4 linked regions of the Arabidopsis thaliana genome follow. The protein of the gene in region 3 interacts with the protein of the main gene of each other region in a pairwise test. Each region holds a gene or a part of one and is shown on either strand. Other genes may lie near its edges.

What was found.
Region 1: the proteins of IQD6 (region 3) and AT3G27770 interact in a protein complementation assay, tested with the Arabidopsis thaliana proteins (one large-scale study listed by BioGRID).
Region 2: the proteins of IQD6 (region 3) and MGT6 interact in a protein complementation assay, tested with the Arabidopsis thaliana proteins (one large-scale study listed by BioGRID).
Region 4: the proteins of IQD6 (region 3) and RBOHD interact in a protein complementation assay, tested with the Arabidopsis thaliana proteins (one large-scale study listed by BioGRID).

The regions. Positions count from the first base shown.
Region 1 is NC_003074.8:10,285,155-10,289,703, forward strand, and holds AT3G27770 (plant/protein), read right to left. Parts: upstream 2,778-4,549; 5' UTR 2,514-2,777; intron 2,428-2,513; 5' UTR 2,321-2,427; coding exon 1,998-2,320; intron 1,906-1,997; coding exon 1,872-1,905; intron 1,785-1,871; coding exon 1,575-1,784; intron 1,461-1,574; coding exon 1,371-1,460; intron 1,243-1,370; coding exon 1,177-1,242; intron 1,087-1,176; coding exon 995-1,086; intron 913-994; coding exon 865-912; intron 749-864; coding exon 664-748; 3' UTR 503-663; downstream 1-502. Other genes in the region: EMB3123 (PPR containing protein), read left to right, coding at 1-334; MYB118 (myb domain protein 118), read right to left, coding at 3,613-4,206.
Region 2 is NC_003074.8:21,788,823-21,793,230, reverse strand, and holds MGT6 (magnesium transporter 6), read left to right. Parts: upstream 1-1,754; 5' UTR 1,755-2,067; coding exon 2,068-2,395; intron 2,396-2,506; coding exon 2,507-2,922; intron 2,923-3,005; coding exon 3,006-3,572; 3' UTR 3,573-3,899; downstream 3,900-4,408. UniProt on the Arabidopsis thaliana protein: Magnesium transporter that may mediate the influx of magnesium.
Region 3 is NC_003071.7:11,142,757-11,146,725, forward strand, and holds IQD6 (IQ-domain 6), read right to left. Parts: upstream 2,348-3,969; 5' UTR 2,227-2,347; coding exon 2,161-2,226; intron 2,087-2,160; coding exon 1,859-2,086; intron 1,782-1,858; coding exon 1,554-1,781; intron 1,482-1,553; coding exon 1,368-1,481; intron 1,292-1,367; coding exon 677-1,291; 3' UTR 534-676; downstream 1-533. Other genes in the region: CYP711A1 (cytochrome P450, family 711, subfamily A, polypeptide 1), read left to right, coding at 7-102, 185-514. UniProt on the Arabidopsis thaliana protein: May be involved in cooperative interactions with calmodulins or calmodulin-like proteins. Recruits calmodulin proteins to microtubules, thus being a potential scaffold in cellular signaling and trafficking.
Region 4 is NC_003076.8:19,395,355-19,402,606, reverse strand, and holds RBOHD (respiratory burst oxidase homologue D), read right to left. Parts: upstream 5,567-7,252; 5' UTR 5,023-5,566; coding exon 4,395-5,022; intron 4,303-4,394; coding exon 4,140-4,302; intron 3,947-4,139; coding exon 3,898-3,946; intron 3,553-3,897; coding exon 3,439-3,552; intron 2,998-3,438; coding exon 2,188-2,997; intron 2,090-2,187; coding exon 1,994-2,089; intron 1,847-1,993; coding exon 1,051-1,846; intron 949-1,050; coding exon 839-948; 3' UTR 546-838; downstream 1-545. UniProt on the Arabidopsis thaliana protein: Calcium-dependent NADPH oxidase that generates superoxide.

The sequences.
Region 1 (4,549 bases), on a different chromosome or scaffold from region 3:
TCCTCTTGACCTTGTTCTATACGCAGACATTGTTAATGCTCTTACGAGGAATAAAGAGTTCGATGAGATAGATCGTCTTATTGGTGAAATTGATGGAATTGATCAAAGAAGTGATGATAAGGCTTTAGCTAAGTTGATTAGGGCTGTGGTTGGAGCTGAGAGGAGAGAGTCGGTGGTTAGGGTTTATACCTTGATGAGGGAAAGTGGTTGGGGGTCTGAGTCATGGGAGGCTGATGAGTATGTCGCTGAGGTTTTGAGTAAGGGTCTCTTGAGACTAGGAGAGCCAGACTTGGCTTCTCAAGTCTCACTCAAATCTTCAATTCTAAAACCTTGAATTTTCGGGTTTTCGGTTTGGTTTGGTTCGGTTTTTGATTAAGTTCATACACTTTTGGCAAAGATTGCACTATATTCTGTTGCTATGGTTAGTTCTTTCGATTTGGTTCGAGCTGAAATCAATTCGGGTAGCGAAAAATTTACGAAATGGTTCATTGCGATATGCGAATTGGATCGGAAGTAAATAGTTTATGCATTGAAATGTTGTGGCGTTTACAATGATCTGTTTTGAAGATTTTAGACATATGGGGTAAAAAATTGTTTCTTTGATTGTTGTAACCCTTGAGCACTGACTCTTACGGGGCAGAAACTCTTGGATTCGAAATGACTTCAAGAAATGAGTTTGTATTTGATTTTGACGATTAATGCAAAGAGGCCATAAGAAGGAAGATGCAGGAGTGCCACCAACAAATACCTGCAGATGCATGAATTAAAATATTAAGGATAGGCGTAATCATTCTAAGGAATGAAACATTATGATATAAACCAATCCTGACTAGTGTCTAGTATGTAAATGTTTTCAAGGCTTACCACACTGGAGCCATGTCTAATGACAGGTTGAGAAATGGATATGGCCACCTAAGTCAATCGAGGAATACAAGTGTAAGATTAATCAAGACGGTAAGTGTAACATACAAAAGATGACAGAGAAGAGTTTTACCCAACGGAGATAAACATGTGGAGAATCCACTGGAAAAGAACGAAACATCCTGTCCATAAGATGAAGTAAGAGAACCTGAACAATGGAAATTTCTGCAAAGCAACATCACAAAAAGACCTCAGGTTCAACACATTAATGAAAACGAAAACTCGTCGTAAATGCAGAGGAAAGAATTGTTTTACCAGACGGTTTAGAAACGTGTCAATAAGCAGCAAAACGAGGTTGCTTGTGTGCAAATTCACAGTCATCTGAAAACACAGAATTTTGACACTAGAGAAGTTGAGACTAAGTTCAAGAGGGTCAAGTGCAACGTAGAAAGTGCCATCAGCAGTGTACAAGCTTTAACTAATATACGGTAAATGGCGCGAAAACTTACGAAACTCATCTCATAGTCCTGTAAAGACAGAAACGGGAAAATCACGGTCCAATATATACTGTCTGTAAGCACAGCTGCTCCAGCACCCATCTGTTTTTCAACAAACCAAAACACACAAGTATCAGTGATCATATATACACTAATGAAACAAGAAATCTGAAAGTTGCAAACTATACATCATAATAACCAAAGGAATCTGTCTACCTGATATATAATCTGGAAGAGATGAACATATGACTTTAGTGCTTCCGAACCAGAAGTTTTTCTCTTCTCGAACGAAACCATGTTGTCACCATCTATAAGAGGCGAACGAAACCCGTTCTCTGCATCGATTCCTACTTGATCAGCGATAAGTCCAGTGTTCCCTTGCTTCTTGTATTGTAAACATCCATAAATTGAAAGCAATGATCCCATCTACACAACACACAAGTGACAACAAACATTCAAACAAACTTGACTATAACCATATACATATTCACAACATCAAAAATCAAAACATACCCCGAAGTAGATTGCTATCAAAGTGAATGTCCACCTACCAATCAAAACCTCAATCATATCAGTCTCAAAACATCAAAGATATTCCCTTTCCACACAATAAAGCAGAGATCTTTAAAGAGAACTTACTGAGTATAATAGTAGTAAATACGCCATCCACGATTAGCAAACCGGGCAATATTGTTAGCAAGAAGGAAACAAAACCCGAGAACCCGAAAACCCAACAACCAACCCGGATGGATTCGTTCAAAACAAGGTCTCCAAACATCATCAATGCACAAAACATCATTACCATTAAGTGATGGTTGAGTTTGAACTGAACTATCTTCATACTTCCATAAGACTAATAAAGAAACAATCATTGGAACTATTACCCATATAGCACATAGTAACACTCTCCAATTAAACCAGTAATCAAAGCTGGTGAATTCCAAAACATTCTCAAGATTCATTTTTTTTTTCTTGTTCTCTTGTTGATCCGTCTGAATATTCGGATCTTTTAGATCCGAAACTCAATGGGATCAACACCGGACTTGAAAACCCAGATCAAAAACTGTCTCTGCAGAGGAGTTAAAAGTAGCTTAATTGATTTACATATAGAGATATTAGTGTTAAGATTAAGTAGCTTTGATTCTTGATACTTACGTTATGTTAAGAGAAATGTAGAAGCTTGTCCTTGTTCTTGTTGTTGTGTGTGATGGAGAAGTCAAATTGAAACTTGGAAGGTGATGAGATATGAGATATGTATAAATCTGAAGAACAATCCAATGGCGGTGTCAGAGGCCCACTGGAATCGGAGAACACAGAGTGGAGACAAGGACAGGTGGGACCTTCTCCGTTTGTCCAACGCTTAGTTGCCAAACGACGTCGATTTGGTTTCGTGTGTATTTTACTTAAATAGGCCTAAATCACAAATCTCATATAAATGGAAAGATATCTACAAGCCCATTATTATTTTTAACTATTTGTAGTTAAGACTAAAATTGTTAAGTTTTTTTTCTTTTTTTGTTGGAGGAATTGCACAAAAAGAATAAGAAGTAATGGTTTATTGTATTTGGTTAAGATCTCAATTTTCTATGTAGTTAGTCAAAATATCATTAATGAATATAGATCCCAAAAGTTTTATGTATTTTTCTTTTAGTTATGTATGACTTTTCGAATGGTGATATACAAAACAAATGGAAAACCAAAATATAATGTATACAAAACTCTCATTACGTTTTTTTTTGTTTGTGTTTTGCCTAAAATTTCTGGTATTACAATACGACGGACCATATAGTCATTATGACGGTAAGGTAACAAATTCCAGAAAATTACAATACAACGGACCATACACATATTATCCCATATTACATCATACTAACCAGATATTTTGTAAACAACTAGTACTTTTTTTCTTTAGCATAGTCGATATAAAATTATTCTTTAGTGACTAAATGTACTTGTTGTGGACCTAATGGTCGTCTTCTCCTAACCGCAAACGCAATTACCATTCATATAGTATAACAGAAAATTTAACAATATATATAGATTCTTAATTAAAATGAAATTAGAGAATAACAAAAAAAAAATCTGATAAAGCAAGAAAACCTTCAATTTTTGTTTAGTCCAAAAGAAACCTTCAATTAAACCACAATATATATTACATGTCCAATTCTTCAATTAAAAGCACAAACATAATTTCATAAATAGCATAATTATATAGGTAGATATAATCAAGTTCGACTTGTTTATATTGCACGGTCTAAAGACGACCATGAGCAATCATCTCCAGCAAAGCAATCTCGTTCATCATAACTTCATCACATCCATGCATCACCATCCAGCTATCAGTCATCGGCTCATCAATCTCCATGGTCACACCACTTCCAGAACCAGACGCAGAACCAGAAGTAGACGCTGATCCGGAGGCCGACATAGCCGCCAATGACGGCATCTTGATCCTTCCATCTTCTAAACCCAAGTTATTCACACCATCCACAATATACTTACATTCACCCTCATCATACTCCGAGACCGCAACCATTACATTCTTACCTTTACCTCTCATGTTTCTTGGACCAATGTTTGCGTTTGCATTTGCGGTCATGAAAGGATCATCATTGTAGGTAACAGACCTAATGTAGTTCTGAAGAGTGTTGCTACCAAGTGAAAGGGAAATTTCATCTTTTCCTTTAGTCCTCCTCGAGTGTTGTCGACGTTTAGTCGCGTTCCAATGGTTCTTGATCGTATTTTCAGTGCGTCCCGGGAGTTTTCGAGCTATCTCAGCCCATCTGTTCCCAATCTCCTTATGGGCTTTTATCAGTATTATATCCTCTTCTTCAGTCCATCCATCTTTCTGTAACATACCACATAAAATATGCTTTATATGTAAATAATACATACAATATTAAACAAATATTTTTATTTTTTATATGTTTTTTTCTCTTTTATGTTTGTTGAATTATATGAGAGAATCCAAGTGACAATGACTTTAGTTTAAATGTCTTACCAATTGTGAAGTTTTGTCCGCAACAAGAAGACAAAATGCCTTAAAGAATTGTCATAGACATATATGTATATACAAACAAAAGTTTAAAGTATTCATGCATGAAATAAAACCGTATACATGTTGACAAGTGTGAAAAAAGTTTGTTAATATTCTCTTAGAAGATTCTCAATGTATCATGTAATGAATTTGA
Region 2 (4,408 bases), on a different chromosome or scaffold from region 3:
GTTAACATGAAGGCATTATTTGAGGCTCGAATCAACTTTATAGTTACTGAAAAACAAATCAAGCGAGTAAGAGCACCAAATGAAGATTGGTTACAAGATGATGAAGTTGATGTTGTTCTCCGATTCAGCAATGTGGTGAAGCTCATGAATGGCATACAAAATGTTCAGAAACTTTACTTAACTGCTGATACTATCGAGGTCAGTTTTCTATTTTTCTTCTCTTTTGTCTAGTTGTGAAGCATTAATTGCAAAATGTCTAGTTTTCTTGTTTTCAGGTGCTTTCTCTGTGCTGTGAATCGGTGCCGCTGTTCAACAACCTCAAAACATTAGGTATCACGAGTGAGGAGGGACGAGGATGGCAAGCGATGCCAGTTCTTGTAAGTAAATGTCCATATGTAGAATTTCTACTCGTTGAGGTCCAGTTATAAACCATGAAACTACTTGGAAAACATGTGTTAAAGATGTTGTTCTTACTCAACAATCTTATTGTCTCCTTTATGCTTTCAGGGTCTCTTACACTATATGACGGATAAATGTGGGGATGCTTGTGATTGCATTTCTCGGGAAGACAAAGGTCGTTCGCTTACATCTTGTCCAGTGAAGAAGTTAGAGATTCGAGGGTTTAGAGGAACAATGAAAGAGATGACAATGATAAAGCATTTCTTGGTCTACTTTCCGTGTCTGAAGGAGATGAACATCTATGTTGAGGAGTATGATCCTACAGAGCTCAGATTCCCTCAAGTGTCTAAAGTTATCATACAGATGATGGAAGAGTACAACAAGTTATCGAGTTGCAATGTTCAGCTCCTTATAACTGATTATTTGTCTGAAAAGTGGACTGCAGCAGGAAGAATTCTCTGAGAAAACAAAACTTGCTCAAAGTTTTGCCAAAGTCCCCTTGGAATTTGTCTTCGGTTATTCTAGTTTCTTTTCAAACCAAACCAAATTAATCCCAAAACCTTAGTTTCCTCTTCTCTTATGTTTAACTGAATCACTCTACGTTTTGTTTCCAACCAAAATCTCTTGTTTTTATGCATTGTTTCCTGTCATTTACTATGGTTAAAGCTCAATATAATAAGTTCAATTTGCAAAAGATAACTTTTTCAGAAACCTAACATTAGTATATCCATTGTTACCCTTTAAGAGCAGTTTAAGATCTATGACACTGTTTGTGACTGAGTGCTTGTCCGGATATGTGGGAAGATGATTATGATGAGGAGGAGGATAAGTATGAAACCTGTTTGTGAGTGCTTGTCCGGATATTTTCCTAATGTCGTGTCCTGTGAAAATGCTAGAGATCACCGATTACCGGGGAACTAAAGGAGATCAAAACAGATTCATTAGATTGACCTTGAGCTTGTCAAAGTTCGTCCTTATGCAACAGAGCCCATAGAAAAGCATTGTCTTAGAAACAATCTACTAAAGCTTCCCAGATCACTCAATTGCAAGACCCCAGTTTCAGTTTGTTACTACTTGCTCTATTTGTTAATTTAAACTGTTTTATGTACAGTGTTGCTTGTAGGTTCAACTCTCAAACTCCCAAACTCTCAAATGAATTGTTTTGATTTTATTCTTCATCAGAAATTGCCCTTGAGTTCTTCTCTTGTTAATTATGTTTGAATAACGATAACTGGGCTTATCTAGTTGGGCCTATAGTCTTTCACGATGCATACGCAGCCCAGAGAATTGAACTCGATAAAATAGATTATACATGTTCTGTGTGATCGTTGGGTCCGAACCAAACCGATTCTGGCCAGGAAATTAAAACCAAAACCAAACCGCTTCAGAAACCAAACGATACCGTTTCAATACATCGATATCGACTATAGCAATTTCGCCGTAAGAAAGTTTTAGTTACAAAATCGAACCCTATTCTTTTTTTTTCCGTCAATCGAACCCTATTCCTCACTGACCCTGACGTTTATGGCAGAGGAAGGATTCATCGGAATTGGAGAAAGCGAAGAAGAAGCGGCAGAGATCGGCGCTTTCTCCTACAGCCACCACCAGATCTCTGACCTGCGACGAAGAAGTTGACTGAAACAATTATTTGTTTCGTGGCTGGAATCCATGGGGAAGGGCCCCTTATCGTTTCGCCGTCTTTCAAGCATCCGTCACCGGAAAAAAGGTTCTGCGGTGAAGGATGACTCCGCACAGACATCGACGCCTTCATCTCCACCGCCTCCCCTACCGATTCATGCTGGCGGATCGGCTGTGGGAGCGACGGGGAAGGCGAAGAAGAAAACCGGAGGAGCTAGGCTGTGGATGAGGTTTGATCGGACTGGTGCTATGGAAGTGGTGGAGTGCGATAAGAGTACAATCATCAAACGTGCTTCTGTTCCCGCTAGGGATTTGAGGATACTTGGCCCTGTCTTCTCTCACTCCTCTAACATTCTCGGTAAAAACTTCGATTTGCTAATTCCTGGATTAGGTCATAAGATCACAATTGCTGCAAATTAGCTTGGACATTGTGTTTCTGAAGTTATAAGCTTGTTTTTTTGCTCTGCAGCCAGAGAGAAAGCTATTGTTGTGAATTTAGAGGTCATAAAGGCAATAGTTACTGCAGAAGAAGTGTTGTTGTTGGATCCTCTCCGTCCTGAAGTTCTTCCATTCGTTGAACGACTAAAGCAACAGTTTCCTCAGAGGAATGGGAATGAAAATGCACTGCAAGCTTCTGCGAATGTACAATCTCCTCTTGATCCAGAAGCTGCAGAGGGTTTGCAGAGTGAGCTTCCTTTTGAGTTTCAGGTCCTGGAGATTGCACTTGAGGTCGTCTGCTCATTTGTTGATAAAAGTGTGGCTGCTCTTGAGACAGAAGCTTGGCCTGTCCTTGATGAACTCACTAAGAATGTCAGCACTGAGAATCTTGAATATGTACGAAGTTTGAAAAGTAATCTCACCCGCTTGCTAGCTCGTGTACAAAAGGTAGAGGCTTAATAAGTTACCATTTCCCAGGATACTATAATGTTGTGTGGTGGATGGAAACATTAAACTGTTGTGTTATTCAGGTGAGAGATGAACTCGAGCATTTGTTAGATGACAACGAAGACATGGCTGACTTATACTTAACAAGGAAATGGATCCAGAACCAGCAAACCGAGGCAATACTGGCGGGTACAGCATCAAACAGCATTGCCCTCCCAGCACATAATACATCAAATCTTCACCGGCTCACATCAAACAGAAGTGCGAGTATGGTGACGAGCAATACAGAGGAAGATGACGTGGAGGATTTGGAGATGTTGTTGGAGGCATACTTCATGCAACTGGATGGAATGCGGAACAAGATTCTTACAGTGAGGGAGTACATTGACGACACAGAAGACTACGTGAACATTCAACTGGATAATCAACGAAACGAACTGATCCAGCTGCAGCTGACGCTGACCATAGCCTCGTTTGCAATAGCCGCAGAGACATTGTTGGCCAGCTTGTTTGGAATGAACATACCATGTCCATTGTATAGCATACATGGCGTCTTTGGTTACTTTGTGTGGAGTGTTACTGCACTTTGCATTGTGCTTTTCATGGTCACTCTTGGTTACGCCAGGTGGAAGAAGCTGCTAGGCTCATAATCTCCCTCTCTCTTACAAACCATGTGCCACTTGTGTAATAATTTATACATATGTTACTGGACAGAGTTGTTTCACTCATATCTTGTCCAGTGAAGACGTTAGTGATTCATATATGTTGTTGAGGAACACATGTAGATGGAAATGATATAAGAGTATATATGTTGAAGAGAATTATATTCAGACATCGAAGTCATTAAAATGTTTAAACTAATTGTGCACATAATTGAACTCTTCAACTAGTTTGCTCTCTTCTCAAAGCTCTCTCTTATTACTCTTCCAATGATTTTTCTCTATATTCCTCACACAAAACATTCATCCTCTACCTTGGTATCGAGTTCATCATCAACTGCTTTCCGTTGTCGAACTTAAGTTTATGGGTTGATTTGATTTGGTTCGGTGTGGTTTATTTTTGGTTATTAAAACTGGTCCAACCAAACCAATTTTAAAGTTAGCCAAACCGCTTTACTTTCCAAAACCCTAAATTTTCGTTTTGGTTTTTCTCCCAAGTTACCTTAAAGTAAACCGAACAGATTTACTTTCCGAAACCCTAAAATTCTCGTTGCCAAATAGAAATAGGTTCGGCTGCGTTTGTAGTTTGTACGTCGTCCTCTCAAAGTCAAAGTTTGTGACTTCTCTTCTGCTTTCTCGCCTCTCGGCTCTCCCGTAGTAAGGTATTTCTGAAAATTTCTAACCATGGTTTCTTATAGTCTCACGTAGTTAGTATTGCTTCTTCTCCGCATATCTTCGGTATATATCTCCACTTTCAAAGTATTTTCGTTTCCAGAGAATCGTATTATGACGTTTCTATGTTTGTAGATCGAGAACTTTCTTCCAAT
Region 3 (3,969 bases):
TTGTAGGTCATTAAAGAGGCTATGAGATTCTACATGGTTTCTCCTTTGGTTGCAAGGGAAACTGCTAAAGAAGTGGAGATAGGAGGTTATTTACTCCCAAAGGTATATTCAAACCCATCAAGCGGATTAGTCCATTTACAGTCAGCACTTGTAATCTATTACTTACCTTGTGGTTGTTGCTTAGGGGACATGGGTTTGGTTAGCACTAGGAGTTCTAGCAAAGGACCCTAAAAACTTTCCAGAACCGGAGAAGTTCAAGCCGGAAAGATTTGATCCGAACGGAGAAGAGGAGAAACATAGACATCCATACGCTTTCATCCCATTCGGTATCGGTCCACGAGCCTGTGTTGGACAGAGATTTGCCCTGCAAGAGATCAAACTCACATTACTGCATCTCTACCGTAATTACATTTTCAGACATTCCCTAGAAATGGAGATACCACTGCAGCTTGATTATGGTATAATTCTCAGCTTCAAGAACGGGGTTAAGCTCAGAACCATCAAAAGATTCTGATTCTTGAAACAAGTGAAATAAAAGCAAGACTGAAATTTATATTTAAATTCAAAACTCCAATGTAGTTCCAAAGGAAAAAGAACAATTAACAACATACACAGATATCTCACAACACACAAGACAACAACAAGCTGTTGAAACTCCAATCTAACAAGGTCACATTTAACCTCTCGGCTTCTCGAATCGAGTAGGAACACCGAGTGGTTTGGAGAAACTAACAAAAGGATCTGAGGAAGGACTAGTCTTCAATTCCCCTGTAAACATTCCAGAGTTCTTCATAAACTGAAACTCATCCATAGATTGCCTGAGACCGCGGTTAGTTCTTCGCTTAGCCTTTGTCGATTCAGTCAAGCTCATGTAACTTGGCTTGTGCTTTTTTGCTTGACTGCTAGAGTTATCTGAAACAAGTCCAGTTTTTCCAGAAACAGGCGTAGTTGAAGTACAAATCGAGGATGAACCTGAGCTCTCGTTAAACTCATAACCAGGACTTGAAGACAGCATATGAGGAGGAGGTTTTGCAGATACTCTAGTGGTCACATTGTTTCTTCTAACTTGAACAACATCCGCAGTTTCCGGTGATTTCAAATGTTTATGAGGCAGAGGAGGAGGCGTGGCAGCGGTATCAACAGTGTCCATAAGTCTAGTCTCCCATGGCCTAGCAGCCATCCAACGCTCCAACCAACTCCATCCCCAACTATTCTTATCAAACTCTTGACTTTTAAGATACGAAATCGAACTATTCGTCTTAAGGTTTGAGCTAGTAGTTGACCTCCATTGCTACACAAAACAAGATTCCCGATTCAGCTTCAGACACGAACTTAAACAAGATGTTGAATGTGGACAAGTTAGTTACCTTTTGAGCAAGAGCATAAGCCAAAGCACGTTCCCTCTTAAAAGCACCTTCTTGTCTCTGCTGCAACTTTGACTTAATATCATCCACAGTACCTTTCCTATCACACCACCCTTCCTGAGAACATAACAAATCTCAAAACAATAAACAATCATCAAACCAATGAGCTAAAAAGGTAAAGACAAGAACCTCGACTTCTTTCAAGAGATCAGATTTGGTTCTATGTTCATCTAAAAGCTTTTGAACAGCTTGTCCTTCAACAGTCATCCTCACACGACGAGCTCTAACACGAGCTTGTACTCTCACCAAAGCTTGCATGCATCTCAATGTAACAGCTGCTTGTTTCCTAACTTGTCTTCCTCTCACTAAAGCTTGTAACCTCACTATCCCTTTCAATGCCCTCAACGCTCTTCTCGCCTAATTAACAACAAATCCTCAAATTAAACTAAGTTCTATTCCTCTCAATTCTAATCAAAACCAATTAGCAAACTCACCAAGAATCCACGAAAAGCGGTTTGGATTCTAATAGCAGCCCATTCTTCTCTAACAGCTTTGAAATCTTTAGGAGGAGCTCTAAGAACAGTAGCAACAGCAGCAGAGTAAACAGTAGAAGAATCAACACCGTCTGAATCAGACCGATGTTTTCCTCGAAAACCCTTCCATGAATCTACTGAAGTAGTCCTCCATAGCTTCCATTTCTTGTTTTTCCCATTACCCTTTTCCTGAAAACAGAGTATCTCTCGATAAAGCTTTAACCTTTGAACGAGAGAACAAAAAAAAAAGATAATGAACTTACGATTTCATCCTTCTCTAGCTTCTTGAGACCGATAATGGACTTGACCCATTTCCCTGAAGCACCCATAGATTAAAAAGTTTCGATCTTTTTGGCTCGAATTCGTAGATTATTTTTTTCTTCAGGTATGTAGAAAGTTTGAGAGTGAGAGATTGATAGAGAGAGAGAGAATATCGGAGAATGTGAAGTTGTGGTGGTAATGGAGGGAGTGGTGGGTTAAAGAGAAGTTTTTGAAATTTGAACAAATCAAAGCAAAGCAACAAACAAAATATTAATAAAAAGTTTGCTCGAGTCTTTAGGCTTTTGTCTCTGATTGTGTTTTCACACTTATTTATTACTTACACAAACAAATGTGTCTGTGTCCTTCTCAGAGTTACAGGCATGAAAAAAGAAACCATGAAAAGGTACAATAAATTAATAAATATATATATATATGTATGTTAGGCTTTTTGTTGTTTTTTACTTTTTACAGTGACTCACTCATGTTCATGTAATACCTTGTTTTGTTTTATTATTCTTATATCATTGGATTCGAAATTTAAACTTCCCAAAATGTTGCAAATCAGATTTACGAAATACATTCTCTTTCGAAAAGCAATGTTTAGCTTTTGGATTTTGTGATTTGGACTGGTTAGACCTATCACTTGTCTAATAACCTCTATAACAGAACTTATTATCTTATATAATTATGACAAGGTTTTCTTTCTAAGACCATACACATTGGTCTTATGACTCAACAGTCAACACCCTATTTAACTCTCCACAAAACAGCGTTATAGCAATTTAAACTTTACAACTCTATTGCAAATTATAATAAATTATGCTCTCATAAAAAAACTAAATTCACGAGTGATTGATACAAAAAAACAACAACTGAAACGACAAAAGAACAACCTAAATTCACGAGTTAAAGAATCGAAAAAAATGCCCATGTATCTCCCAAATTTAGTTTTCAATATATATACTATTTTTTCTCGCTCATATTTAGTTTGAGTGAATCTTGTACATGAATCTATTTGTCTAGCAACTTTAAGATTAATTAGACATAATAAAAAAAAAAGATTAATCAGACAGAGAAAAAAGATGAACTCTGTAAAGATTGGGTCCTTAGCTATACAATGAAAATGAGATATATACAATTAATTCTAATTGATGATAACTTCTTAAAATAATAAAACAAAAATTACATGAAAACATGTACCACCGAAAACATGCACCATCACACTTGGGATTGAGTCCCGCTCGATACAAATGTAGGGATTTGGCTAATGGGCCGGACAATTGTGGCCCAATGTTGAAAAAAAACTACATGAAATACACAATGAAAGGAAAAAAATTCGATCCAAGAGTTGTTTGTCTGGCTAATGGGCCGGCCAATTGTGGCCCAATGTTGAAGAAAAAACTACATTAAACATACAATGAAAGTAAAAAAAATCGAGTCAAGAGTTGTTTCTGATATGATGTACATTAGCGATTAATGTGCTAACTCACAAATCAACCAGAATGGTGGTGGCATAGCTCTTAAAGAGGAAATGAGATAGAAACAATATGTTACAAACTAAAAATAAATCAAAATCATAGAGTATTACAACACACAAATAAATAAATTGGAAACAGACTCTACATGAAACCCATGAAATGAATTAGAAGAGAGAACACAAAAATATTGTATTAAATAAAATCTTTTGCCATTTTTCAATTGAGGATCATAATACATTGACGATGAAATCCAGAGATTGAATTCCTGATACCAAAAAAAAAAAGCAAATCAAAACCAACTATTGTTTTTTAACACAATTTAATCCACCTCAT
Region 4 (7,252 bases), on a different chromosome or scaffold from region 3:
TAATTTGACGCTCAAGCGACCTATTCTGTAATCAACCATAAACTTTGTCAGTTTTCTTAGATTGTAGTAGGTTGGATTTGTTTTTGAACTTTTAGTTTACCTAAGGAACAAAATTAATCATTCGTAACCATTTTAAGGAAACAAACTTAACCATTCATAACGATTGTTTCTGATTATTATCGATAGCAATTGTATTTAATTATTTTGATACTTATATCAAGTTTTGATTATATTCTAGCTGCATAATTTTAAAGTCTTTTAAACTATCCCAAGTGCAAGGCAAATTAAAGTAGTGAATAGGGTATCAACCCATAAATAAAGACGTAAACGCAAGAAGACTTATGAAAAGCTAAACTAATCTAGCTAGAGTTGTGATATAAGATGCTTTTGAGTTAAGAAATTATTTGTCATTTTAACTAAAAGAACACTATTAATAACATATAAACAAGTTAAACACGCAAATGCATTGGTGAGCAAATAATCAAGACGTATCTAATGTTGATATCTCTATTCATTATGTTAAATGAGTAATGGGTATTGAATATCAAAACTATCTTTAGTTGTTAATATTCGAATATAAGTACAAAATAATAGTACAGATAACTCCATGATTACATGTTTACAACACCAAAGCTGTAACTATATAAACTTCTACTATCTTATACTTAATTTGGCATTAAACTAAGTAGTGAAAAAGTAACCAACAAAACGGTAGGGATATAGAAGAACAAAAAAAGATAACTCAGATAATTTTACATAAAAATGAAAAGAATTTAAAATAAATATTTATTTGTATAGTTGTTTCTTGTTTTATTTTTCTACAACGTATATAATTAATCTAGAAGTTCTCTTTGTGGAAGTCAAACTTGGTAGTTGTCTTTCGAGAAAAATCCAAAGCTAGATTTTTTAATTCCTTTATCATTCCTGGCATTCCACAGTAGAAGACTCCTGCAATCAAAATTCATATTAGTATTTAGTCTAAATTCATCACTTTATTAATTATTATACAACATCACGTACATAACGAGATTAACGGTCGAGATTAGTTACCTATTCTTTTGCCGGGATGTTGAACAGCGATCTTCTTGTAGACTTGTCTCCAGTTAGGTTTAGCGAAGTGGGACTTGACACGTGTACCCGACACAACATCCACACCGTTCTTAGCGTGTTGCAACGACTGAAGCATGGCAATGAGAGCCACTCTTGCATCACCTTCCTCGTACACACTCGTGCAATAATTGTGAAGCTCGATGATTCCTTCCTCGTCTAACTCCGAAATCTCGTCCATTATTCCCTTGAACCACTCGAATGATCCTTGTTCCCTAGTCACCCAGTAGAAATAAGCTTTCCTTGTCTTAAACCCTTTACTATTGTTGTTACTGTTATTGTTCTCAATGTCGCTGTCGCGGTCAGGACCTTTCATGTTGTTGATGATGTCCTTAAGGATACTGATCATAGGCGTGGCTCCAATGCCGAGACCTACGAGGAGTACCACGTCGTATTTCTTGTAGTCTTGTGCGGGAGCACCGTATGGACCGTCGATAAGGACCTTCGGGAACGGGAGGTTTCCATCTCCTCCGTCTGCTCGGAGAAGACCGCTTTTACCGGCGGTAGGAGGTTTGCAAACCTCGGAGAAAACGGTCCTGAGCTTACGTGTCCAGTCACCGAGAGTGCGGATATGTACGCTCAGGTAATCGTCTCCGGGAGCTGATGTGATTGAGAAAGGATGCCATTCGAATGGAGATACGGCTCGGCAGTTCACCAACATGAACTGTCCACTTTTGTATTTGAATCCTTGTGGCTTCGTCATGTGTAGAGACAACACGTTCCCGGGGTAAACAGCCACCTGTTGTTACATATATATAGATTAAGTTCAAAGGCAATTTTCAAACTTTTATCAAAAAGAACTATAAAATAAGATGGTTTAAAAGTATTAGTTGAAATATTTCTTGAAACATAAGGTTTTCAAGAGATAAATAGAAATATATCTGACCTTGATCATCTTAACCGGTTTGATGCTTGATCTGAAAGCACGGAGCAGCCTCTCCGATGCATATAGAAGGATGGGTACAGCAAGATACATCCATGTCTACAAGAATCATACAAACAGGTAATAAATGTTATTAACCGGAAAAAGGAAAGAAAATAAGAAATTAAAACAGATAAAATGAGGTTTGAAGAGAGTACCGTTTTCTGATACCAAATCTTTGTGAGGTAGAGCTTGATACCATGGACAATGAGAAGAGCATAAACAATGATGAACAAATGGTGGGTGTACCAAAAGGCGTTGAAACCGGTAAGCTTCTTGAGGAAGTTAGGTAAGTTAAGCTTGTTACGTCGGAACCAAGGCGTCGCGAGTGTAAAGGCTATAGCCATTAGCACAACCATCACAATGCCAGTCCATCCTTCCACTCCTTTCACAAACCACCAGTAGCTAGTCGGTTGATCCCCAAAGTATTTTTCCATCGGCTCATAGGTGTCCTCATCCGCGGCAATTAAACGTGGAAAATCACACGTTAAATGGGCACCCGCATGGAGTAAAACACCGACGACTATCCCGCTTGCAATAACCTTGTGGAAGTTAAGACTATCATCAAAAGGAACGACAGTACCAAGCTTAGTCTTGTTCCTAAGCCAAGTGATGGTGTTTCGACAAACAGGCAACAATATGAGAGCCATGTTGAATTTGAGAGTCTCGGCGCCTCCTTTGGCGACACAAACGCAATAACCCATGACACCATAGGCAGCTTTGTTCTTGTACTGAATGAATTTATAAGTAAAGAGGCCACCACAGATGCCAAGCCATAACATCATTATCCATAGTCTCTGCCAATTGTCAAGTATGAAATATTTGATTTTCTCCGACCATCTCACTAAAGGGTTGCTCTCTTTTGCCGGTCTAAGCTTCTGACTTAACATCTGACTAAGTATCCTGCTGTCTCCCATCCGCACCGACTGGTTTGGTGCTTGTAATAGCAACATTTCCAAGTTTTCGATCTGTTTCACCAATGTCCATATCATATAATTAACTAAAACGTTACAATAAAACATTAATGTTCCAAACTGTTTTTCTTAAAAACACTTTTCATAGGTTTCTCCAATAATTAAAAAACAATATACTATCGGAAGCCGCCTAAGACTTTCTAAGCTTGGATTATAGTGTTAGTTCATATATTTTACAATTTTATTGGTCATTTCTTCATATCGTAACCACTAACCACCCATTGTCGAGATTTTGTTGATTGGTTTGGTAAAAAGTTCAAGATGGCCCAATAAGTTGGAAATTAAAAAACATCATGGTGACCCAATTTTGACCACTAAAGACTTCTAGAACGTTATGTTTTTCCACGTTTTTTCTAGTATTTTAAGAGTGGTTAAATTTACGACGTACATAATACCATTAGTGTGATTGAGTGGGTGAAAGTGGACCACACGTACCATAATAAACCCAGCATTGTCTGGGTCCAACTCTTCCATTATCAGTGCCGCATATTCTTTGGCTTGCTTTTGAATATTTGAGAGCTTGTTTGCAGAAGCACTAAGACTAATAATCTGCAATAAATTACCAACAAATTAGAAAACAAAAGCTAAAGTATTTGAAACATTAATAACCTAAGCTAAAGTAACAAAGACTACTACTCTATCTATCTATTACCATTTTGTCGTGTTCACATGAAGTTAATATATTGATGATGTTAATAGTAAACGTCAGCAGATAAAGTCAGTGGGGATTTGCGCGTGGACAAAATTGTCAAAATAATCAACCAAGAATAACGTATAAAATAAGAGAAAAAAAATTCAACCAGGAATATGAATAAATATAAGATAAAAAAAATGTATAAATATAATAAAATATTTGAAAAAGATAATTATTGAGTGGTGTGTGTGTTTTCTCACCTCAGCCACCTCTTCTTCTGTTACTCGCCCATCTTCATCTTTGTCCACCCTGACCAAACAGTGATGTCATATATTAGTTACAAATCCACCAAAACTCCACAAATGATTAATATTACTACTTTTGGTCCTTAAATTCTGATGACCGTTTAATTTTCATTAAGAGTCAATATTAAACGACAAATAGTGATTACGCGTTATATATTTATTGTGGGTTAGGTGAAGATATGTAAAAAAAAGCTTACATGTCAAAAAAGACTTGGAGTTTGGCATCAAAGCTTTCGTCTGAGATCTGTTCCCAGAATATCCTAAGCTGTTCCTTTGTGATTGCATCGCCGGAGACGTTATTCCGGCGAGCTAATGCTCTAAAGAGCTGGTCAGCGAAGTCTTTAGATTCCTTATTCATTCCTAGAGTAAAAAACAAAACAAAAATGAGACTAACACAAAAATGGAAACATATAGTACTAATAGAATTGCTTAGTAAGAAGTGATTTACTTACCTAAGCATTCCCAAAACTTGGCAGAGAGTAAGAGGCCGTTGGAATCAGCGGAGAGTTTATCGAAACGTTGGTCGACGGCCGGCCATGCGGCCGTCTTGGTGGCAATGAACTTGAGACCTTTGAGTGCGTGGATGGCCGCGGAGCTCGTGCGGTCAAACCGCCGCACGGCCGGGGAGGGACGTCTAGAGAACACGCGGCGGAGCTCGCGGGAGGCGTTCTTGATGCGTGAGGAGGTGCTTCGGAAGAAAGATAAGGAGGTGGTGTTGTTGAGGCTGCTCTCGAGAGTCTTCTTCGTAAGAAGGGCTAGCTCCGGGTCCTCCAGGTGGCCTCCACCTCCAGCTGCTTGTTGGACACTATGGACGGCCACCGAGTCGTCCCTGATGTCTAGCGTGATCTCCACGTACTCATCGTCATCACCACGGCCGCCAGCAACACTATTGCTTCTCTTGGGAAGATCGTCGGCGAATCTTGCGTTTTTCTTGGACGCACGTTTAGGCCGGCCAAGCGGACCGCTAAAGGCACCACGGTCGCTAGCGATGCTCTCCGTGTCCGAGTTGGTGTCCGAGTTAGCTCCTCGTAGAATCCCAAGTTCATGGTCGTTACTTGAATTGCCTCGTCTCATTTTCATCGAATTCGAGAAACCAAAAAGATCTCACTAGATTTGGCCAAGAAAACCACAGAGATCTATACAAATAAACACCCGTAAGGTTACTGTATTAGTTGATAGAGAAAAAATAACCGCTCTCAAAAGGTGTTTGATTTTTGTGTATGGAAGAAATTGATTTTGTTTAAAATATATTTATAGAGTGAAGGAGGAATAGATGAAATAAATGGCATGCAAATTGCCATTCTTCTGTGCTAAATCAGGGAAGGTAGTGGGAAACTATGGATGGACCGCTCCGGTCTGGTCAAAATCCTTTACTGACCATTTATTTTGACTTTTTTTTAATTTCCTTTTTTTTTTGTTCTTCTTCTATTCTTCATTTCTTCCTTACCTTTTTTATTTATACCGTGTCATACATTTCAAACACCGAAGTCATTTATACACCAACCCCGTGTGTGAATTAACAAAGAAAAACAACCCCGAGTTATGTCAAACACCGAGTCATTTATAAACTTTTGTTTGAAGAACTTAAATTGTTATTTTTCAATGTATTTGGCAATCATGCATATAGTATCTAACTTTTCCATAAGTCAATCTATAATTCATTTTGGATCGTATATTGATGATACTATATAAATATGTTGCTTCTAACATTTGGCTTGTAAACTGTATTCAAATGTATATCTAACCTACTGTACCGAACAAAAAATTATTATGGATTCTTGTACAAACTCCATGTGAGATGTATTGTTCATTTTCTGTTTTTTCTTTTTTCTTTTTTGATAAAAACACATTTCTGTTTTATGTAAATATGAAAGTCAATTAGCTAGATCATCAAACTATAACTATCCAGTCTATCATCGATGACTTATTTTTCGTTTGAATGTGGTAGTCTTAAAGGAACATCGTTCATGTTCCATAATGGATAAGAACAGATAAGCGATCCGATCGCTAAAAAGAGTGGACATGCTTAAGTTTATTTGTCTCTTGGGCACTGACCTTCTACTTTGGTTTCTTGTTTGGAGTATACTTTAGACAAATAACACAGTAATTAAAATGACTTTTGAAATGACAAAATGAGATTTAATTAATAAAATGAAAATTTTATGTTATTTGAGGTAATTCCTCTACATAAAGACAATTTGAATCTATTAGCATTATACAAACTAGCGGAGATATCTAAAGTTTATATTGTCTGCATCAATACGACTTACTTTAATTAGTATTGAAGTATTTAACTTAGTCATTCATAAACTCTATTTTATATATACTAAACACAGATTCTCGTAATAAAAATAAACCTAAGTGTATGCATAAAAACGGAATTAGGGTATAGATGCTCACTTTTGAGCTTTTATAGTTTTTGATAACAAAATTATAAAGCGTAATACATAAACTAAAATTCAAAGATCATAATTAAAAATTATGTGTTATTTTAGTAAACACTAGTCGGATAGTGTTATATTTAATTGATATAACAAGATTTTTGTATTGCTAGAGGTAATATTTCTATATATATAAACAATTTTGTAATATATTAGCATCACAAGAACTAGAGGGGATATCTAAAGTGTATTTTTGACATCAAGAAGATTTTTTTTCTAATATTGAAGTATTTTTATTTAGCTATTTTTAAGAGTAGCATGAAATAGAGGGCAAATGAGTAGTATAAAAACATAGAGTTATGCAGGCATCATGAACAGATGTTTTGTCTGTTAACCAAAACTTCGACGCCGCCCACGAGAAAAGTCAGTTTAAGGGTCTTAAATAATTTACCAAATGGAAAAGAGAAATAGATACATAGATGGAGACAAAACATATGATATAATTGAGCACATAGTACAAATCGATGGTTTGTTTTCTTTGTCCCTATTTAAATAGAACCCGATGAGAAAGTAAGGTGGCTAAAGAAGATATATAGTTATTATCAAAATAAGAAAAGAAGAAAAGTTAGATAGTCTAATAATCGCTGTTAATTAATTAGAAGACGAACCTTTGACTTATCTCCACTGCTATCAAAATTGTGGTAGTTCACAAATAAAATGACCCTAACCATACACTATTCACACGTTACGGCTACATATACGTTGTACTATACAACAAAACTGCAAACGATGTTTATCATCACCATACGGAAGATCATGACGCTTATTGGTGATCATTCTTTATCTTTTTTGAATGTTAAATTTCTTTAACGAAAAAAATGATCACTGTTAATAACGGCGTAACAAGGTTTATTTTTCGTAGTTAAAAA